2 linked regions of the Cricetulus griseus genome follow. The protein of the gene in region 1 purifies or fractionates together with the protein of each later gene. This does not show direct contact. Links are inferred from orthologs where the notes say so. Each region holds a gene or a part of one and is shown on either strand. Other genes may lie near its edges.

Region 1 (10,688 bases):
GTCTTGATTCTTGATCAGCACTGAGCTCTTGAGAGGAGAGCCTATCTGGAGCCCTTTCTAGCCCTTGCTTTCTTGCAAGTGGTAACACTCTAATCCTTGTTAATAAGACCATGGAAAATAGGTCTTGTGTGTTCCACATACAGAAGTTCTCTTAAGTTGCTGGGTGGCTCACTTTCTCAAGTGCAGCCCATAAAGAATACGTAGGTAAGCAGAAAACTTTCTGAACCTTGAAGAATGTCATGGTTGCCCACATGTTTTTCTCTGAAGATGTTTCTAAAGACTTCTGGACCCTAAGGGTGTAGCTGTGGGTTAGGAGTGAGGCTCCATGGTAGAGGGTGTGCTTTGAATGTACAAGGCTCTGGATTTACTCCTTGGCCCCAGCTTCAAAATACTGATTTAAAAAAAAAAAAAAAGGAAGAACACTTTTTATTCCTTTTATATTTACACTCAATACCAAATCATGAACATTATTCTCAAGTCTTCATAAAAAGCATGACATAACTATGCTAACATAACTTATCCAGACTACATGAAGGACCATCTGCCTGTACTGGGCATTGGAACATTTTATTCAAAATATACTCCTAAACCAGGGAGTATGTTCAGAAGGCTAACATGAGAGATCATTTAAGCCTAGGGCAGCCTGAACAACATAGTAAGAGTGTATCTCAAAGTTCTAAAATTTATCAAATTACTGAACCAGGCTCAAAAGGTCTTCAGGGGGTTTTGGAGAGATGGCTCAGAGGTTATGAGCACTGGCTGCTCTTCCAGAGGGCTTGGATTCAATTCCCAGCACCCACATGGCAGCTCACAACTGTCTATAACTCAAAGTCCAGGGGATCTGACACCTTCACATCAATGCACATAAAATAAAGTTAAATAAATTTAAAAAAAGGTTTTCAGATATTTCCTGTGATTTTGAGATTATGGTTTTGTTAAGCAGGGGATGATAGGAAGTTACAGCCAATCTAATTTGTGATTATTATGATTTTTTTTTTCCCCAAGACAGGGTTTCTCTGGCTTTGGAGGCTGTCCTGGAACTAGCTCTTGTAGACCAGGCTGGTCTCGAACTCACAGAGATCCGCCTGCCTCTGCCTCCCGAGTGCTGGGATTAAAGGCGTGTGCCACCAACGCCCAGCCTGACTCTTAAATTGTAAGTCTTTGTATACATGTTTGATATGATATGTGATTATAATTGTGTTCACTTTTGGGTAAATTTGTGATAACAGCTTTTATAAAAGTAAAGGAGAAAGGAAAGTGTCTTCAAATGAGCAGTTTTAAGCTAGTTGATTCTTAGAAGTTGAAGTCTTCTTAGAGGACAGTGTCACCTGCAATGTTAAGTTCTTTCCAGCAGTTCCTCATGTGTTAGTCAGTAGAGCAAGACATTCCTGAGAAGGAAGTACTAGGTAATTTAGCAGTGCTAATAATAGCCCAACAGTCTATCTTTGTTATTGTTGCTGTGTGTCTTTGCTTTGCTTTTTCTCAAGGCCTTTTAAATGGCTATTGGTGAGGTGCAGATGAGAGATAGATCTTGAAATGACCAACAAACACATGTGTTTTGATAACATAAAGTTCTTCAAGAAATTCATAGTCTTAAAGGAATATATGTGCACATTTACACATGATTGCTGAAATCCTCTGGAAGGTGCTGATGTGGCGGCATACATTATAGTCCTGCACTTGGGAGATGGAGTCTGCAGGATAAAAAGTCAAGGCTGGCCTCACCTACAGAATGATTTTGAGGCCAAAATGGGGTGCATGAGCCTTCATCTCAAACAAACAATCCTTGGAAGAAAGTTCATAATACTTTGGGGACCTTTTGGACTTTTCTAAGACCGTGAAGGTCAATGGGTCATTATTTGACCTACATTTATATATTTTTTTAAAGATTTATTTATTTATTATGTACACAGTGTTCTGCCTACATGTATGTCTGAGTCAGAAGAGAGCACCAGATTTCACTACAGATGGTTGTGAGCCACCATGTGGTTGCTGGGAATTGAACTCAGGACCTTTGGAAGAGCAGGCAGTGCTCTTAACCACTGAGCCATCTCTCCAGCCCTACATTTATATTTTTATTGTTATTTTTGTATCAGGGTCTCACTTTTTAGGTCTGCCTGGTCTCGGTCTTCCTGTCTCAGGCTCCTAAGTTTGGGCATTACAGGTATGTGCATTATGCTTGGCTTTTAAAAAGCCAGTCGTGTCAGTGGTATGTGGATTGTGTCTGCTTACTTTTCGTTTTTTTTTAAGGGTGGGGCGCAGAGTCTCTTTGTGTAAATGTTACTCTGTCACATAGAACCTGTTAGTCTCCATTAAAAATTAGAAAATAAGACTTACTCAAAATTATCTGGTAGTTAACTATTCAGTGGTTATAATTTCTTAGTGGTATAACACGATGGCTCTCATATGTTTGAGATGAGCACTTGAAAGCCCTCTTTATTGATTCTGAGACATTTAAGCTGAGATTCAGCATGGAGGATGCATTTGGTAGGAAAAGAGGCCTCATTCCCACCTGTGTCAGGGCTTTATTCTGTATGGGTTTGAATAGTTATAAGATCTTGAAGAGCTGCAGAAAGATATGTTTAGGGCTGAAAGTGTTACTCAGATGTAGAGAGCTTATCTGGTATGTCAAAGCTTGTGTTCAATCCCTAAGACTGTTTTTCAAAAGCTAATTTACCTGTGTTATCCTAAATTGAAACTGTAAGGGCATTCGTCCCCTTGTTTTAAATTCATCACATGTAGGATACCTGTTTACTTACCCTTATTTTTACTGCTTACTGATGAAACCACATTGGTCTTGAACTTGATCCTCTTGCCTCTGACTCTCCAGTATCTAGCATCTGGGATTACAGGCATGTATCTCCATGCCTGGCTTAGTTTACAGTTATTCTGAAGTATTTACTCTCAAACTAATATTTTCTTGTTTATATGTATTTCTGTTTTCTAATGAGGAATACTAGTGAAAGTGTTTTTCTTTATTTTGACTTTTAGGTAAAGATTAGATGGTTTGTTACAAAAATTGATACTTTCTTTTTAAGTTTATTCAATTCTGCATCATAGCTAATTGATGAAGCTAAAATGCAGATTGGGTATCAATTCCTGTGTTGTCACCTGGGCCTGACATTCTGCAAGAAAAACTTTCAAGGGTCTCGGTGGTGAAGAGATTGAGAAACCAAATGATTACGATTCATGGTCATATGGGTATAGTAGAAGTATATTCAAGGTGAAGATTTCTCTTGAGAGGAGAACCATTGATGCTAGACATGGGTGAGAGCTGCAGATGGCTCCAAAGAGAACCTGACATCTCAACAGAGGTTTGGAGAGTAAGAGCATGTGGATAAGATGGAGAAGATGTGCTACTTATGCCACAGAGTGGTGGAATGGTTAGTGTGCTCAGGGAGAGAGGACCGAAACAGCAAAGGGTCTAGGAAGTCAGTGGAGATTTATTTTTTTGTTGACTAGAAATGACCCATTGTGAAAATAACAGGCAAATGGTGACTTTTAGAAACTGTTTGTTTCATTTCTGTTTGTGTTTTGAAATAGTCTCAGTATGTGGTCCAGGCTGCCTTGGAACTTACCTAGGCTAAGTTGTCCTTACACTCTAAAAATCCTCCTTGCTCTTTGGCCTGACTGCTGGATTATAGGTATGCCTTACCATGCCTGATGGAAATTTTTATATTGGCGCCTAACAGTGTTTTGCTTTAAGATAGCTTGACTTCACAGTATGTATGTGAATCTCTCATACTGTGGTTATAAAATACTAGCAGTAATTGTTTTGAAGCATGCCGGGAATGGCAAAGATATTTGTGTTATGAGACTGTTCTTAGTGCTGCATTCGTTTATTTGGACTGTGAGGTTGAGAAAGTCTGTATTTGTGTGCAAGTCTTAGTTTATATGTATCAGATTCAATCTGAAGTGAACTAGTAACTATTATTTCTATTTTTTACTAACTAAAAATACTTTGGAAATAAAGAAAAACATCATATATCAAAATTAACCAGACCCAAAGACTATACAGTGAAATAACCTTAAAAGACCCATTCCAGGGAGCTGTATCTGCCAGCTTAGTCTCTACCCCCTAAAAGTTCCCAGCTTCCCTGAATACCATATCAAGCGTGTGTGTGTGTGTGTGTGTGTGTGTGTGTGTGTAGATTTGAACTAAATAAGTTAAAATGTTAAAATTTTTCCCAAGGCAAGTAGTATGTCCATTTTGTTAGCACTTTCCTGAAAACAAAAACGGTTCAAACGAGATGATGGATGGAGGCCTAAAGGAGGTGTATTAGAGGAACAGAGCTGATAAAACTGATATTAAAGGGGATTTGTTAGATGGATTATTATATATTGGTATTATATAGTGCCGATAGTTCAACAATGACTGTCTCTCAATGAAAGGCTGAGAAACTGGTAGTTGTTTGAGCCCAGGAGTCTGGGTGTTTCAGCAGTCCCAGTCTGGTGCTGGAGTCTGGGAAGATTCCTGAAGAGCTGCTGGTTTTTAGTATGCTGGAACCCTGAAGAAGTTGTATTTAATACCAGCCACAGGAACAGGGTAGACAAACTTGCCAGCAATGTGCTTTTGCTGATAGACAAAAGGAAAGTTTCCTTCTTCCGTGTCCTTTTATGAGGACTGCCACGAGTTGAGACCCAGATTTAGGGTGGGTCTTCTTACTTCAGTTAATCTGTTTAAGAAGATCCCTTATTGGAGTACCCGGCATCTTGGTGTTAGTTAATTCTAGATGTAGTCAAGTTGACAACGAAGATTAGCCACTACACAGGGATGAGTATATGGACTGAATACATGTAATTCAGACAAATGTTCTTATTTATGATTTCTTTCTCTTGGTATTTTTAGAGAAATATGAAACACAATGGGAGCAGAAATTGTTTGAATAGAAGAAGTAGGTTTGGTTCTCGAGAAAGAGACTGGCTGAGAGAAGACGTGAAGAGAGGCTGTGTTTACCTTTATGGAGCAGACACGACCACTGCCACTACAAACACCACCTCTTCCTCCTCCTCCACATCCTCCTCCTCTTCTGACTTACATCTTGTCCTTTGCACAGTAGAGACACCAGCATCAGAAATATGTGCTGGAGAGGGAAGAGAAAGTCTCTATCTACAGCTTCATGGAGACCTGGTCAGGTGAGGTCTGGGGCTTTTGTCCTTTTTTTGTTATTGATGTTTTGAGTCAAGAGTGGTCCATCCGTCCCGTGTCCCGTGCCTCATGGTCGTCTCAAACTCACAGTTCTTCTGCTTCAGCCTCTTAAGTGCTAGGATTATAGGCATGTACTATTACACTGAGCTGAGCTTAGCTCTGAGTCTTGACAGTGATTCTTTTGTAGGATTAGTAACCCGTGTTTCTGATTGGAAGTGGGCTTTAGGGTTATGATCACATTCTGTAACTGATGGTGATTTGGAGTCACTGGCACGAACAAGATTTGCCCTTGGAATACTTAATGATTTTAAAAATTACCATTTTGTTTGTAGTGTATCCACATGTTTATGTATGTGCTTGTAGAGGGCCAGCCAGCGGTTTAGGTCACATGTTTTCCTCTCTTTTTGAAGATTTTTTAAAAAGATTTATTTATGATGACAGACTTTAAAGATCCCTCTTGGAAGGCCTCACCGTCCCTGAGAGAAGAAAGGGGTTGGGATGGGGAGGGGAGAGGAGGGGAGGGAGAGGGAACTGAGATTGACATGTAAAAGAAGCTTGTTTCTAATTTAAATGTATTATGTATACAGTGTCTGCATGTGTGCCTGCAGGCCAGGGGAGGGCACCAGATCTCATTACAGATGGTTGTGAGCCACCATTCGGTTTCTTGAAATTGAATTCAGGACCTTTGGAAGAACAGGCATCTCTCCAGCCCTTGAAGATTTATTTTTATTTTTAATTATGTTTAGGTGTACGTGTTTGTATGTGTGCTTGTGCACAGGTGCTGCCTGACTGGGTGCTGGGAACCTAACTTAGGTCCTCTGGAAGAACAGCAAGTGTGCTTAACTGCTAAGTCATCTCTCCAGTCCCTGTTTTTTGACAACTGCTGGACTGACTGGTCCATGAGCCTTGGATATCTGCCAGTCTGTGCCCCATAGTACTAGTGTTCCAGGCACACGTCAGTCATCACACCTGGCCTGTGTGTGGGTGATGGGGCTCCAAACTCAGATCCTCTTGCTTACATGGTAGATACTTTACACAACGAGGATTGTCCCAGTCTCTTAGTTTATGATTCTCGAGTTTAACACTATAATGAAGGAAAGCTTGATGGTTCTTCTATTTGGAATACACTGTAGGTCTTATATACAAATTTAAACATTTTAATAGTTACCTTTTGGGGAAGTATAACTAGAAAAAAACTGAAGTGTACAAAGGGTACAGAGTAAAAAGTCCTTCTCTGTCCACCATTCCCTAGCTGTCCAGGCCTTTTCATTGTTACTGTCAGGTTCTTATACATTCAAGCATACACATGCTCGTGCCTCTACATCCACACTTTAAAAGCAATGATGCTGTATACAAAACACTGTTGACTTAATAGCTGAAAGGTATTTCCATATTCATATTTATATAAATATAATTTATTTACTGACTACATGACTATTCTACTTTATAGGTCACCATAGTTTTAGTTGATCTTCCTAATCTCTCATTATGGATATTAACCTGCTACCTGTTTTTAGCACAGCAGATAGTGCCATGGTTGAATTCCTCTGTACCTGCTATCTCACAGAGGAGTCTCTGGAGGGTAAGCCCCTAGAAGTATAATATTCTTGGTCAAAGGATATGACCATTTATAATTTTGATAAATATTTCCAACTTCTTCATAGAGGTTATATTTCCATCTAAAATATAAAAAAATATGGGGCTAGAGAGATTGCTCAGCAGTTAAGAGCATTTGGTTGCTCTTCCAGAGGATCTAGGTTCTTTTCATAGCACCTACATGGTGGTTTCCAGTGCTGGGATCAAAGGCATGCACAAGCACCACCAGGTAGCATTAAGTGTCTTCTGTAAGTGCAGACACATACTCTTGAATGAGCTGAACCTGCTTATAAAGGATCATAGTTATCAGTTTTTGTTTGATACTTTATTTACTTAAGGTTCTGGGTTTAAACCCAAGACCTCAACCATATTAGACAAGCACTGTATACTGAACTATGCCTCTAGCCTTTGTTTTAAAATTAGAGAATCATGAAGTCAACTTTTCAAAGACAATCATTTTCCAAGCCTTTTTGGAGCTGAATAGGAAGTTTTTTGTTTGTTTTTGAGACAGAGTCTCGTATAGCTGAAACTGGCCTTGAATTCCTGATCCATCCTTCTTCTACCAAATGCTGGGGTCAAAGGTGGGCACCATAACAGGCTCAAATAGGCATTTTTGCCATTCTGTTGTGTTAGTATTTATTAATTAGTGAATTTGAGCATATTACACAAGCTTAAAAGTAGTTTGTGTCATAAATTTTTATATAAATATGAAGAAAAATAGTCTTGTAGTTTTGTGCTGTGCATCTGAACTTTTTAATTCAACTTAAAAACAAAAGCATTAGTCCTGTAAATGTTTCATTACACTTTTCTGTCCTTCCTAGAAAGAATTCCAAGCTGTGGATTGAGCATTATTGAAGTGTGGTGGGGAAGTGAAGCTAATCACACCTCAGAGGTGTGATAATAGTAGTAACACCTTTAGCTGAGCCAAAAGCTGATGCCTCTTTAAAAGTGTGAACTGAGGTTTACTGTGTATTCCTTTTAGGATCTGTAGGAAATCCTGAAAAAAGTAGCTTAGCATTTGAATGTTTTCTCTGTTCCCAAGTTAACTACATTTCCTAAATCCTTTTGTGAAACAAAAGGATCAGACTGGTGATCCTTAGGCTCTTCTAAATCTTAATACTGGTCTGATCTAATTTTATCAGTTGGAAAGCCTTGACCTAGATTATAGCAGGTAGTGATGGATGGTGCTCACTTATTTAGGCAGATGACTTACTCATTTACTAATATTTGCATTAGAAGATGCCATGAATGTGAAGAAACACCCCTCATTACTTTGTTCCCACTAGTTGTGTAATTAGTTAAGAATTTGAATGTGATATAGTTTATTTACATATGAGAATGTAAACTGTAATTAAGGTGGAATGTTTATCTTTTGTTAGCCCTGTAGTTTTGATAATTAATAGTGAAGTGTATCTCTTTGAAGATACAGTTTATTAGAAAATACTGAAAACACTGTTGAACTCTGGATGGATAGAATGGGTATGCTTTCATTACTGGAGTAAGAGCTCCAGACTTGACATTTGAGGAGGAGGAAGAGGCTTCCTGGTCTCAACTAACTTTAAGTGCTTATTTGTGCTAGTTGGTGCTGTTAGCATATATTCATTTTCTCATCACATCTTTACAAGAACTTTGATGTAGTCTTCTTCCTTTCATGTGAGGAAAATTGATGCTTTGAGATGGTTCAATGACCAGCCCAAGGTCAGGCAGATACTGCTAGACAGTTGAAATGACTGATGGACTTCCTTCAGAGTAAAAGGTCTTGGAGGAGAGGAGCTGGCAAAGCAACTCCCCTTATCCAGTTTTACTGCCTAATCATGTTTGCCTCATTAGATCTCTTCTAACTTAGTGGTTAATTGCTTGAGTTGGTCTTCTATTATCTAATCAGGAGTAGGTCCTTTCTTCAGAGTAGCCCTTGGTAAAGTAGTTGGTAATCGCTGAGGCAGTATTGTTTTTTTGAGAACCTTTCCTACTGATCACTGCTTGTTGAAGAAATTCTGGAAAATGAAACAGCATAAAGAAAAATAATAATATTCGCTGTGTATGCTTTATGTAGATTACCTCATTAAATCCAGTCTTGTGAAGGAAACTGTTTCTTTTGTGTAGGCATAGTAAGTGATATCTGAGAGATTACTCTTAGCTAAGAGTGATCAGCCAGAAAGTGTTTGAACTGTAGTTTGAACCCTGGCATTCTACTAGAGTATGAGATCCCATCCTCACAACTTATATTGGTAACTTTTATTTTTCACCAAATAATTTACAATCACACACATACGTTTTAATAATTGCATATTTGAGCTCATATCATATATCCAATTTTATATCCTTATAATTCTTTTAGTATAAGATCATCTTAATTTTATTGTTATTAAGAATTTGACTTTAGACACGAGTTTTAATAGTTTAAGGCTATTCTATATTACAAGTATATTATAAGTTGTTTAAAAATTGAGTACTGGGGGGAAGGGAGATGACTCAGCATGTAAAGGTACTTGCTGCCAAGCCTGACAAATTGGATCCCTGGTACTCACATAGTAGACATGCATACCATGATGTGTATATACACATATGCACTAAAACAGTTTTTGCTTTTTTGTTGTTTTTTTTTTTTTGGTTTTGTTGTTTGTAAATGGAGTTCTTAATTGGTCTAAGTAATAAAAACCCGGAGTCAGATATAGAGGAAAATGCTGAGAGATCAGAGAGAAAGAGCAAACCACCACCACACCTTAGCGTCTCAGCAGACAAGAGAGCAAGTTGCTGTTTCTCCCTGCTTATATCCTGTTTTTGGACAGCTACCTAACTTCCTGTCTGTCTGTACAGACCTCCAGACTTCTTTGGTCAGCTAGTGGCAAGTTCTATTCTCTAACCTTCAGACAGGCTTTATTTGTAAAAGTAAGATATCACCACAGTTGTTGTTTGATACAGTTTTTCTTTGTGTAGCCTTGGCCCTCATGAAACTCACTCTGCATAGCAGGCCAGCCTCAAACTCAGAGATCGGCCTGCCTCTGCTTCCCAAGTGCTGGGATTAAAGGTGTACCCCACCATCACCCAGCTCTCCCCACCCCTTCCCCAGTAAAGCTGGGTGTGTTGGCTCACAATTGTGATACCAGTACTTGGAAGGTGAAGGCAGGAAGATAAGATTTCCTGGTCACCCTTAACTAAATATGAAGTTGGAGCCTAGCCTGGGCTGCCTGAGACTTTATCTCCAAAACTGAAAAAATAATTGAAATTTAATATATAGTAGAGGCTTAGTTTGGATTATGGAATGAAAAAGTGTGATTCAAATCTTGTCCCTGACAATTTACCATATATGTACATAATGTTCAGTGTCTTAGGGTTTGTAGAATGGAGAATGTTTTCATTGTTTATCATGAGGATTAAATCCATTGCACCTGCTATGAAAAGTGGTGAATTACTTGTAACACTTTAATAGTTCCTCCTAGGAACCTTGTTAAAAATATAGATTGTGATTCAGAAGATATAGGATAGTCTGAGATCATACTTCTAATTTGTTTGATCTGTTGGTTTTTGTTAGATAGGATTTTCTATGTAGTCTTAATTGGCCAGGTACTCTCTGTTGCTCATTGTAGCCTTTAGCTCATGGCAGTCCTGCCTCAGCCTTGCCTTCTGAGTGCTGGGGTCACAGGTATTCATCACCACTCTTGACTTTTGAGATTGTAGCCCTACTAAACTCCTAAGTGATGCACAGCACTGTAAGTATCAATGAAATAAAGCACTTGGAATGTTGTCTGGTACCACCTGATCAGTACTCATGCGTGGGCTACATGTGTGCTAAGCATGTGCTCAGCCATTGAGCTATTTTCCCAGCCTGTGCTATGTAGGTTGTTTCAAATCACTCAACTCTTAGAAGTAATATGCACTAGCTAAACCACTGCTTGTAACTTGGAAAAAGTATTTCCCTCTCACTCTGTTTGTTTATTTAGTT
Region 2 (10,688 bases), on another chromosome or scaffold:
CTCCTACAGGTGGCAGTGAGCAACGTCTTCCAGGAGGTGACACTCAGACTGGCAGTGACTGAGGCAGAGCGGCAGTGGCTTCTGGAGCAGACCAGCCACGTGGAGGAGAAGCCCTATAGAGTCGAGTTGGCAGAGCCTGTGGCAGCCACCCTGTGTGAGCAGACCTGGAGCCACCCACTCCCGAGGCCAGACAGCTGCATGGGAGAGTCATGTACAGTGTCTTCAGGCTGCTCCAGACCCTCCTAAGCCCACCTGGGCCTCCTCTGGCTGGCAGCAGCCAGGAAGTCTCCCCGGCCTGATTATGGCTGCACTGAACAGACAGATGGCTGGAGTCCACCGAGGCTAGGGTGGACGTGGGAACTGGGAGCCAGAAAGCCAGCCTTTCCTGGGGTCCCGGTGGAGTAAAACACTCGTTTAGGCACCTTCCCTAGTTCCTTCCTTCATCCTTCTCATGCTGACGGCTGGGGCAGGGTAGCTAAATCCTGGCAAGGATTTGTCAGCTGGCAAGATAGGTGACCTGTGAAGGAGGGGGCTGGCTCTTCTGCCTGCTGGCCTTGGTCCTGCCTTCAGCTTTTTGGAGCCAGACAGGTCTGAGGGGAGGACTTCTGGATACAGCTCCTTGTGTCTGGGGAGCATCCCTGTCAGAGAAGCCTGGAGCCTGCTGCAGGTGAGAGGCCATTGCTCTTCCCCTTCCTGTCAGCTCATTACCCTGTCTCCAGCAGCTGCATCCAACCTGGCCATTAGGGGGCAGCAGAGGCACAGGTTTGGGATGGACAGTCCGCTGGCAAAGTTCTCTAGGGTCTGCAGGAGGGTGTCACATTGTGCGACCCCTCAAGCTTTTGACTTCTAACTGTCCCCATACCCTGTCGTTATCTGAGGTTGTCACCAAGAAAGGCCAGGCATATTTTCAAAACAGCTCTGACAGAGGTTAGAAGTGCATTTGTGAGATGTCTTTGCATAAAGTTTACCAAGACCTCCAGGTCCTGGTCTTGACATCTTTACCCCAGATCGCAAGGGTTAAAACTGGCTCCTTTTGGACTCTGCTCCAGACCTTAGCCAGGAGTTCCGGTCCAGCTTCCAGCCAAAGGTCCCCCACAGCTTCTCCACCCCAGCAGGTGAGGTAGGGAGGGGCTTCTTCAAGCCTTGTGGGGCAATGCTTAGGCCTGCTACACCAGCCTGGGGGCCTCCACCTGGGGTCAAAGGGTAGAAGTGTGGGTGGATGAGGGAGGCCAGGCCCAGCTGAGCAGGCACGTACAAGACGATAGGGACTGTGATAAGGGCTCTGGATGGTTTAAAGCTGCTGGAATCCAGACCTTAATGCTGAGATGGCCAGATAGTGAATGGCCCTTCTCCCAACCCAGAGAGAGGGCTCCAGGGCTTCTCGCCCAGAGCCATTGTCTTCCTCATTTGCTCCTTTCAGCCCAGCAACCTGGTTCTAAGTGGTCTTTCTGTGAAATCAGTGAATGGAGTCACCTCCCCTTCATCTTTGAACACCTGTCCCAGGACCTGGTCCAGCAGTCTGGGTATTCAAGGGCCTCCTGGCAGAAAGGCAATGTGCCCTGCAGCTAAGTGGACCAGTTTTCTCCTGTGCTGCTTATGTGCCTTCCAATCAGGCCATTGGGCAGATAAGAGGGTGTCTGCGGCAGGCTCAGACTGCTGAGAATCCTGTACCCCTTGTGTGTGGGGGTGCGAGCGGGGGTGGGGGGGTGGATGGATGAGGATGACAGCTGGACAGGACAGGAAGGGACAGGACAGGGACAAAAGCCATCCTCACATCCTGAACCCAATTCTGTAGTAGTAAGACTTGTAGCACACATCTAGAATGAGGAGCCTTGGAGCCCTAGCTGTGTGTGGATCTCAGCTTCCCCTTCCCAGTCCCCATACACATCCCTATTGTCCCATGTACCAGGGTGCCCTGACAGAACTGGAGGGCCTTGTGGACTTTTGCGTAGATGAAAAGTCACTCCCGCTTAGAGTTCCAGGGAGCCCTAGATGGTCCTCCAGGAGTACTGCTCACTGCCCACTCTCTTAGACCTGAAGGTATGAGGCAAAGCTCCAAAGGAAGACACACAGGCTCAGGCTGCTTAAAGGAACCAGTGAATTTCTGAAGACATGTCCTTACAGTGGTGGCACCTGGCTCAGTACAGGCAGAGGCTGCCAGGGTTTCCCCGTGCCACCCAGGTCGTTCAGGGTGAGAGTAGAAACCAAAATTTAAGGATGAGGCTGTTGCCATGCTCTGGGTACAAACAACCAGGAAAATCACAAGAATCATTAAAAGAGCCCCTCTAAATTCTGCAGTGCTACACTCTAAAAAAAAAAAAAAAAAATCAAATGGACCTAAGAAGGCCAAACCATAGCTGTGAGGACCTTGGGCACCCTGACCCTTATGAGCAATGGCTGCAACAGTCAAGTCCCTGGTCAGCCCTGGACTTGGTCATCACATGTAGTCGAGGGAGGTCCAAAGGTCCACACTTGGTGCAGGTCCCGGTGATGTCCTAGGCAGACTGGTGGGGGTACACTGGGTAGGATGAAGCCCTCAGGGAGGAGTAAGGGGATGGGACAGAAACCTTCCCCTTCCCTAAGGTGGGCAAGAACAGAATTCCTAGGAAACTCAGATGTGTCAGGAAGGTGTGGGGGGGGGGATGCTGATTTGAATGTTGATTGGTGGGTGATTGGGGGAGGAGGAGGAGCTAGGTTGGGTGGGTGGGTGGGTGTGCTGGTCCACTCTCCAGCGCTGGCCAGGGGTGGCCGGTGTTCAGAGGTTGCTGAACAGTTCATTTTTCTTGCTCCAGTCCATCTGCGGGGCCCGCTTGCTACTGCGCTTCTGGTGGGCCCTCTCTTTAGCCACAGCCAAGGAGATGTTGAAGTCCAAGATGGGGTCGGAGGAGGAGGAGGTAGATGAGGGCTCTGTAGACTCCTGTCTCTTGGGACTGTCTTGGGAATTTAGCTGTGAAAAGGAGGAAAGAGTCAGTGTCTACCCCTAAGGGCTCCCCGGTCCTTGGCCTCAGAGAGGTGGATCCCTTGGGGCCATGGTCAAAGTAGCCAGGTCACAAGAACAAACTGCACCTCCCCATGTGACCTCAAAGGCAGGCTAGTGTGCCAGGAACCAGAGTGGCCTGGAAATGGCTTCCTGTAACTCAGCCACCAGCCCCCACAGGGCCTGCCTACCTCCTCACTGGTATCGCTGGAGGCGGATCTCACCAGGGCTGGCCTGGGGCTCTCTGAGGCTGCCTCTACCAGGGCTTCACGGCTGCTCTCCTGGCACAGAAAGGAAAAAGTATGGGTTGGCAGGGGCTGAGAAAAGAACCCTTACGAGAGAAGGGTCCTCGCTCAGGCTTGGCCACCCACCCAGATTCCAGATTTATCTTGCTGCATTCCTAAAAGGATTGGGGCAGCCTGGTCCCAGCCATCACCTGGGCGGGGGCGGGACTGTGGAATCTCTCATCCTCCCCAGCGCTTTTGAGCTTTTGAGCGCTGACTCATTTTTTTTGGATCAGCAACCCAAGAGGGGCTTCTTGGAGCACAGGACCACCAAGGTCCTCCTGTTAGGCATGAGGAGCATATACAATCCCTTAACCTCTTGCAGCCCTCTCCAGGTCCTAACCCCAAAGTAGCCAACCAGGGTCTTTAGGGAATAAGATGACAGAAAGTTCTAGAACCAAGGATGGGTGGCAAAAGGTGGGGACCATGGCTTGATTCTTGTCTCCACTAGGTCCCTGTGGAGTAAGGAAGCCTTCAAAGTGCTCTTGCCAACTCCAGGCTCTGTGGTCTGATTCTGAGACAGCCCATGCCAGAGTAGAGGTTTTGGCTGGGCGTGAGCCTGGCACTCAGCCCCTTCCTGGGTCCTTCCATGGCCTCAGCTGGCTCCCAGCCTCACCCCCTTCCCTTCTGCCCAAGGGGAGGGACTTTGTTCTTCCAACTCAGACTGGAAGTAGCAGGACCAACAGCCAGACACTGAGGCTCTGTTCTTGGGGGGAAGAATGGCCTCTTCTGTATGGTGGGAGTTGGAGGCGGGGGCTGCCGAGGGGCCCCAGGCAAGCCTTTCCCAAGTGATAGCCTTACCCCTGACGGGCTGGGGTACCCTGGCAGTCCTATGGATTGGAGCTCAGGAAGAAACTGGAACTGGACCCTGATGTGTCAGCCTGAGCCAGACTCCCAACCATGCTGCCACTCTCCCTGTCCCCATTGAGAAGTGGGTAGAGGACCCCCTTACCTTCTGTATCTCTCCATTGGTGAAGGGCTCAGGCAAGGGGCCTAGATGAGGGAGACAGCAAAGGTCAGTCTAAAGACTTTGGGGAAGGAGAGCAGAGGAGGCCAGAGCTATGCCCTGGGCAGCTCACCAGACCTCATACTGGAGGTCAAAGGCCACAGTGTTTTTGGCTGAAACCTACTGTATGTAATTTGACATTTTGATGACCCAGTGCCCAGAAAGATTGTTTGACAATTTCAGAAAACAAGACCCCACTACAGTGCCATACTTTGGTATTTTCAACTACAACTTACTCTTACAATGTCTCATTTGGCAAACTGGAGGAACTTTTTTGGGTGTGTGCATAGGAGGATCACACTTGAGGAGGGCTACTTGATGCTGACTGGCAACTTGTGATAGACAAGACAGCTCCCTTTAACAGTAATACTTGGTGCAGTGCTGGGGGCCAAACACACAGCCCTCCGTATACTAATTAGTGCTCTACCACTGAGCTACCTTTCTGGGCCTAGCTTGACATCTGACCCAGAATGCCAAGATGCCAGGCTTGCAGGAGCGCTAAGATGGGATGGAGTTCTAGGGTAGCCAGTCAAAAAACAGATCACCTGTGTGTGGCCAGAGAGATGGCTCAGTGGTGACCTGATTACCTGAGTTGGATCTCCAGGACCCAGATGGTAGAAGAGAGAACTGACCTCCACCCACATCCACCCTAGGGCAGGGCTGGGCCTTGGTATTCACACCTCTCAGGGGCTGAAGGCAGATTTAGGGCCACACCTCAGATTATATAGCTGGCACCTGCTGCCTTGGAAAGACAATAATGGCAACTGTCTGGCATCTGGAAATGAGGGGACAAGGAGGTGCAAAGGCAATGTCCTGAGCAGAGTCAGGAGAGGCCAGTGAGAGAGAAAGTCAGCCCCCGGCTTTCGGCTTGGGGGAAGGCTGGTCCACCTCCAGAGACTAGTGAAGATGGTGTGGTGCCTCTGTATATTAGGTTCTGAGACCCGTGAATCCTCCACACTGCATCCGCCTCGGAGATCTGAGCTATGTGAACCCATTGCAAAGTCCAGACAGGTTTCACTTTCGGCATAGCACAACAGAGCACACTTCCAGAGCCATCTTCCCAGGCAGAAAGTCTGGACTAAGGAGTAGGGGTGCTCAGCCCCTCCTGCTGTGTGGTGTGGTGTGGTGGCCCTACTCACTTTGGCTTGGCTTGAACAGGAAGAGGTGCCAGGCTTGGCAAGATGAGAGTGGGGGAGGGGGAGAGGGCAGGGGCCCAGGGACTGAAGGGGACCCACTACTCTCCAGAGCCAGCAAGCCTGAGTTTCCAAGGCAACTTGACAAAGGGGGAGGGGAGCACTGGGCCCCTGTCACTGGACTCTGATCTGCCCAGCAAAGGCTGGAGGCTGCTCCAGAGTTAACTCTTTCCTCTCAGAGGGACCGTCAGTCTGAGAACTCACTGGACTAGGGAGAGGCCCAGGCCGTGCTTGGTACTGAATCTCATCCCTCCTTCATGTTAATTGTGGTTAATTACCATCAGCTGCCACCTTTAGACGCTCATGGCCCATCCCAGCTTCTACTCTCCTCCAACCTGTGCTATTGGGTCTCTCCTTACAATCCGAGAAGCTACCCCCCATTTCTGGCCAAGTCTTAGGCACTTGGCCACACACCCAGCTGTGCACTCACCATCCAGGTGTTCCTGTGACGGGATCACTTTGCACTTCTTGAAGAACTCATCAGTCTCCTTGTCTACCACCAGCAGCTTGGCCTCATCCCCTCCAGCCTTGATGGCAGATACCACGTCCCCATGCTGCTTGCCCTCCATGCAGACACCATTGACCTGTGAGGCAGGGCAGGGACGGGGGTCACCCACACAGGTCTCAGTGCTGGGGAGGGCAGGTGGAAGAGGTCCCACCCGGGAATGCTGAATCCCCACATGTGCCTAGTCCCGAACCCAGCCAGCCAGCAGTTCTCTGACAGTCAGTTGGGAAGCAAGACAAATGGGAAGCGCCAAAGAAAATACCCAGAGGAGACTATGCAAACACAGCTGTGAGCAAGGGGAGGCCTGGGAGCCCGGGCTGGGCTCTCCTCTGACCTCCCTCTCTGGGCCTTGGTTTTCTCACGTGTAAAGTGAGAAGTCTTGGAAGAGCTGATCTGTGGCTCTAAGGTTCTCACACTGTGATTCTGGGACCAGCCCAAGCATTTAGTTCACATTTCCTCTGTCGTGAGCACAGCCGAAGAACAGTGTCTCAAAGCTGAACTCAGGAGAGGGTGTTGGGTCCATCCTTGTGCCTGGCCCAGAGTGCTCAGGCATCAGGAAGGCCGTGCTGGTGGCCTCTGGCATCTACCTGGATTTTGGCAGATAAATCCTGGGTGTAGAGTGTGCATTTGGTAAAGCAGAACCATTAAGCCTGTCTAGTCCCATTTACCACTTAGCACCTATCCTTTCTGTGCCTCTACTCTACCTGTGCAGCTGCCCACCGTCCAGCACCTCTGTCTGCACTGCCCACATCCCATGGGTTAATCAAACCACAGACGGTACGAGGCTGCCCCCAAGCAGCAAAGATCAGGAAGGAAGAGCCTGGGAGAGTACAGAGAATGTTGTACAGGGTATCACCTCCACAATGCGGTCTTGGGCTCGGAGTCCAGAGGCCTCTGCGGGGGAATCTGGGTCCACTGCTCGGATGAACTGGCCTGGCTTAGACTTGTCGCTGTGCAGGTTGAAGCCATAGCCATTGGGGCCTTTCTTCATGGTGCAGAGCCGAGGCCGGAGCTCACGCTGTGGGGATGTAGGAAGCAGCCATGTCATTCCACAATGTCCCAATACCACCTTCTCCAACTCCACTCTCCTCCAGTGGTGATTGGAGCCCACAGAGCAAGGCAAGAGAATCTGGCCCAGGGTTCAGATATGAATAGACACTTAGCACTGAAGTAAGCCGACTGGCTCTGGGTGAGCCACCGTCTTGCCTGGGCTAGGTTCCCTCCTGGATTCTACTACTCATGTGTTTGGTCTTATCCTTTTCCACCCACGGCTCATCTGGTCCTCCTAGGCCTGGCTGGGCACCTGAGACTCATGAGTGGGCACCTGGCCCCTGTATCTGTTCTCTGTTGTGAGAGCATGGATAGCTGTTTACTGAAAGCTGGCCAGTTTGTTTACAGTAAAGGTTTTCATCTCTAGTGGGCTCCCTCCTCGACTCCAGTGAGCCAAATGGCCCAGCCAAATGTGACCCTGATAACCTGAAACCCAGCAGGTGGCTGGGGGAAGAGTCCTGGGGTAGATGGGACTTTTAGCTCTAGATCCAGCCAAGGATATAGGGAGCAACAGAGGTGTGTGTGTGTGTGTGTGTGTGTGTGTGTGTGTGTGTGTGTGTGTGTGTCTAATCCCCCAAGGATTCATATGGGGAGGAGACCATGAAAGAGGGCTGGGCCAATGTGGTCAGACCGTGGCCTGGAAAGCAGGGCCTGTTACTTTTTGGGTTGTTGATTTTTTGTTTTGTTTTGTTTTGGAGACAGGGTTTCTCTGTGTAACTCTGTAGACCAGGCTGGTCTCAAACTCTGAGATCTGCCTGCCTCTGCCTCCTGGGTGCACCACCACCGCCTGGCCTCTTCCTTTTAACAGTATTTATTTATTTAGTGTGTGTGAGAGAGAGCATGAGTATGACATAGCCCACAAACGGGGTTAAAGGGCAACTTGTGAGAGTTGGTTCTCTCCTTTCACAATTGGGAGTCAGGTCATCAGACTTGGTGGCAAGTGCCTTGACCCACTGAGCCATCTCACCGCCACCCCTCTTTCCCCTGAAAGACATAAGCTAGTGTCTTTTGTGCACCCTGGCATTAGCTGGGACAATTTCAATATCTTCCGTCCTCTTTGGGCAGCTCAGCTCTGAAGCTACAGTCTTGATGCTTTCATGACACAGGCTGACAGATGGACAGACACTGGACACGAGCCTACAGAAGCTGGAGGCTCTGCAAGCCCTACCCGAGCTCCACCCTGACCCCAACTCCAAGCCTGGGGCAAGCCTGTTCTCCACTGGCTGGAACCCTAGTTGCCACCTACCCTATGGGGCAACAAAGTGCTCCTACTAGCTTGTGACTTGGGGCGAATCATTTCCATTTCTGGGTCTCAGGGTCTTCCTTTCTAGAGGTGTTTATTGCTACCTGCTTCTCTGGGTTGCTGCTGAGGCCCAATGACACAGTATAAAGCCACACTTTGAACTTCCCAGTGCCTGCCCAGACCTGGATGTTGCCATTGTTCTCACTAAGTCCCCAAGCATACCAGGACTTTGCCATTGTTCTTGCTACTAAGGAACAAGCATGTAACTCTGAGATACTACTGGGTTGGGGAGGGTAGTGGCTAGATTGCTCTGAAACCCAAATCCTCAGCTGGGGGTACAAAAGGCAAGGGAGGGGAAGAGGAGGGAGGAGTAAAGGGAAAGCTTTGGGGCCTCCAGCCTCACCTTACCAGCATTGCCATCCCAAAGAAGAGATTGCTGGTTGGGGTAAGGTACTTGCTGCCAAGCTCAGCCCGAGTTTGCTCTCCAAGACCCACAGGGTGGAAAGAGAGAAGTGACTCCCACAGGTTGTCCTATGACCATGGCACTCCCACCCCACACAACATAATACATATGTTCACACAGTAAATTTTAAAGATGTAAAAAAAAAAAAAAATGCTTGGGCAGGCTTTGTGTACCTGTGTTCAGGATGTTGGTGAGGAATGTAAAGAGTCCAGAAGACAGAAGGTGACAGTCGGGATTTTCCATAGTGGTTACTTACCCAGATCCCAGAGACCCCTCACCTCAAACAGCAAAGACAACCAAATGAGTAGCAAAAAGAGGGTACCACAGGAGGCCCCTCCTTCCCTCAGCCTATCCAGCCCTTCACCTGCTGTGACCTAGCCCCTCCAGGAGCCCACCCCCACCTCCAGAACCATGTAGTTCCGGGAGTGAGGAGTCTCTTCCTTGCAGCTAATCCCCGCACAAAGCTGCCACAGGCCCTCCCCCAGGCTGCCTAGGTGAGCTGAACAGGTCTGACGAGTTGCTGCCACCAGGACAGACGGGCTCAGCTTTCTACCTTAGCCACACACCTCCTCTGGCCCTCAGTGTGTGGAATCCCAGCTTGCCTTCCACTCCCCCCGCCCCCCCCAGGATTCCCTTTCCCCAGACTTCCCACAGCAGCCTGGCTGAAGCTGGTTAGCTGTTTTTGAGACAGGGAAATTACAACACAGAAAGGTTAAAGCCCACTCAGTCTGACTAGAGACTTGCTTTCCTCCCACCACAACATCGGGCTTGCCCTTAAGCGTTGAGTCCAGAACTAGGCAGCCTGGAGTGAAGCCTAGTGATAGGCAGATGGTGGGGGCGCTTCTCACACTGACCAGGTGTCTGGGAGCTAATGAAACCACAGGCTTCCTTCCGGGAGCTCCACGCCTCTTGCAGCCAGAGCCCCAACCTGAGTGGAAGGATAAAGCCTGGCCTAGGTGACGAGGCTGTGAGCATGCCCGGGCTGGCACTGTGGCTAGAGCCAGGCTGAGGGTTCAGGAGGGGTGGCTCCCTAGTACTGGGCAGGGCTGGGCTAGGTGTCTCTGTGATGCCCACCTTCCAGTTCCAAGTCTGTGCTTTGGGGTTTCCCTACCGCACCTCAGCATCCCCTTTCTAGTGACATGTCATCAGAGTTCAAAGGTCCACTTTGCATCCTTCTGGCAGCATGAGGACCAGGAAGACTTAGAGGATCCTGCCTAAGGGGATAAGACATCCTCTACTCTATTGCCCTCTGGGTGGCTCTGTGGTTGATCCAGGGGTCTGTGGGTGGTAGCGTAGGTGACTGGTATTCTAGAAAGCCCGGTCTATGAAGCACTCACAGACCCTTCCATGCTAATGGGTCCCTTTCAGAAGTCTCTCTAGAGCAGTGGTTCTCAACCTGTGTGTCAGGACCCCTTTGGGGGTCGAACGACCCTTTCACAGGGGTCATACATCAGATATCTTGCATGTCAGATATTTTCATGATGATTTACTGTAGCAAAATTATAGTTATAAAGTACCATCGAAAATAGTTTTATGACTGGGGTCACCACAATACCAGGAACTGTATTAAAGGGTCCCAGCATTGGGAAAGTTGAGAACTACCGTTTTAGGTCTCTTCCTTCACAAGTGGGGGAGGGAGGGGTGTTTGAAACTTTCAGAGAAACAAGCCTATTCCCTTCCTGTCCCCATGAACTGTCAATGCAGCTGCTGAGTCAGCCCGTCCCAGCTTGGGTGGAGCTTAGAAGAGTCCCCTGGGGGCAGGCCCCTGGTTCCCAGGCCTCAAGTCAAGTAGAGATGGGGGAGGGGCAAGGTACCAGAGCTTGGATTGTGCCTCTGGGAAAAGAGATAGAGGGGGGAAAAACTCCACACAATCTTGGGCTTGGTGTGCGTGCCCCCTCTACCTTAAACAGCCTTACGACTTGTGCCAACTCCAGTAGAAGCAATAGCATGGGACGGGGTGCAGGGGG

The links. The genes of interacting proteins can lie anywhere in the genome.
Region 2: the proteins of Phlpp2 (region 1) and Slc9a3r1 purify together in Homo sapiens (co-immunoprecipitation; 3 studies listed by BioGRID and IntAct, with this or other methods). This does not show direct contact. The link is inferred for Cricetulus griseus from reciprocal best matches to the Homo sapiens genes PHLPP2 and NHERF1.

Annotation. Positions count from the first base shown.
Region 1 is NC_048596.1:186,235,787-186,246,474, forward strand, and holds part of Phlpp2 (PH domain leucine-rich repeat-containing protein phosphatase 2), read left to right. Parts: intron 1-1,133; exon of another isoform or gene 1,134-1,153; intron 1,154-4,849; coding exon 4,850-5,136; intron 5,137-10,688. UniProt on the Homo sapiens protein: Protein phosphatase involved in regulation of Akt and PKC signaling.
Region 2 is NC_048600.1:127,781,814-127,792,501, reverse strand, and holds the end of Slc9a3r1 (Na(+)/H(+) exchange regulatory cofactor NHE-RF1), read right to left. Parts: intron 6,984-10,688; coding exon 6,822-6,983; intron 6,045-6,821; coding exon 5,891-6,044; intron 4,255-5,890; coding exon 4,214-4,254; intron 3,259-4,213; coding exon 3,169-3,258; intron 2,948-3,168; coding exon 2,756-2,947; 3' UTR 2,076-2,755; downstream 1-2,075. Other genes in the region: Nat9 (N-acetyltransferase 9), read left to right, coding at 10-246. UniProt on the Homo sapiens protein: Scaffold protein that connects plasma membrane proteins with members of the ezrin/moesin/radixin family and thereby helps to link them to the actin cytoskeleton and to regulate their surface expression. Necessary for recycling of internalized ADRB2.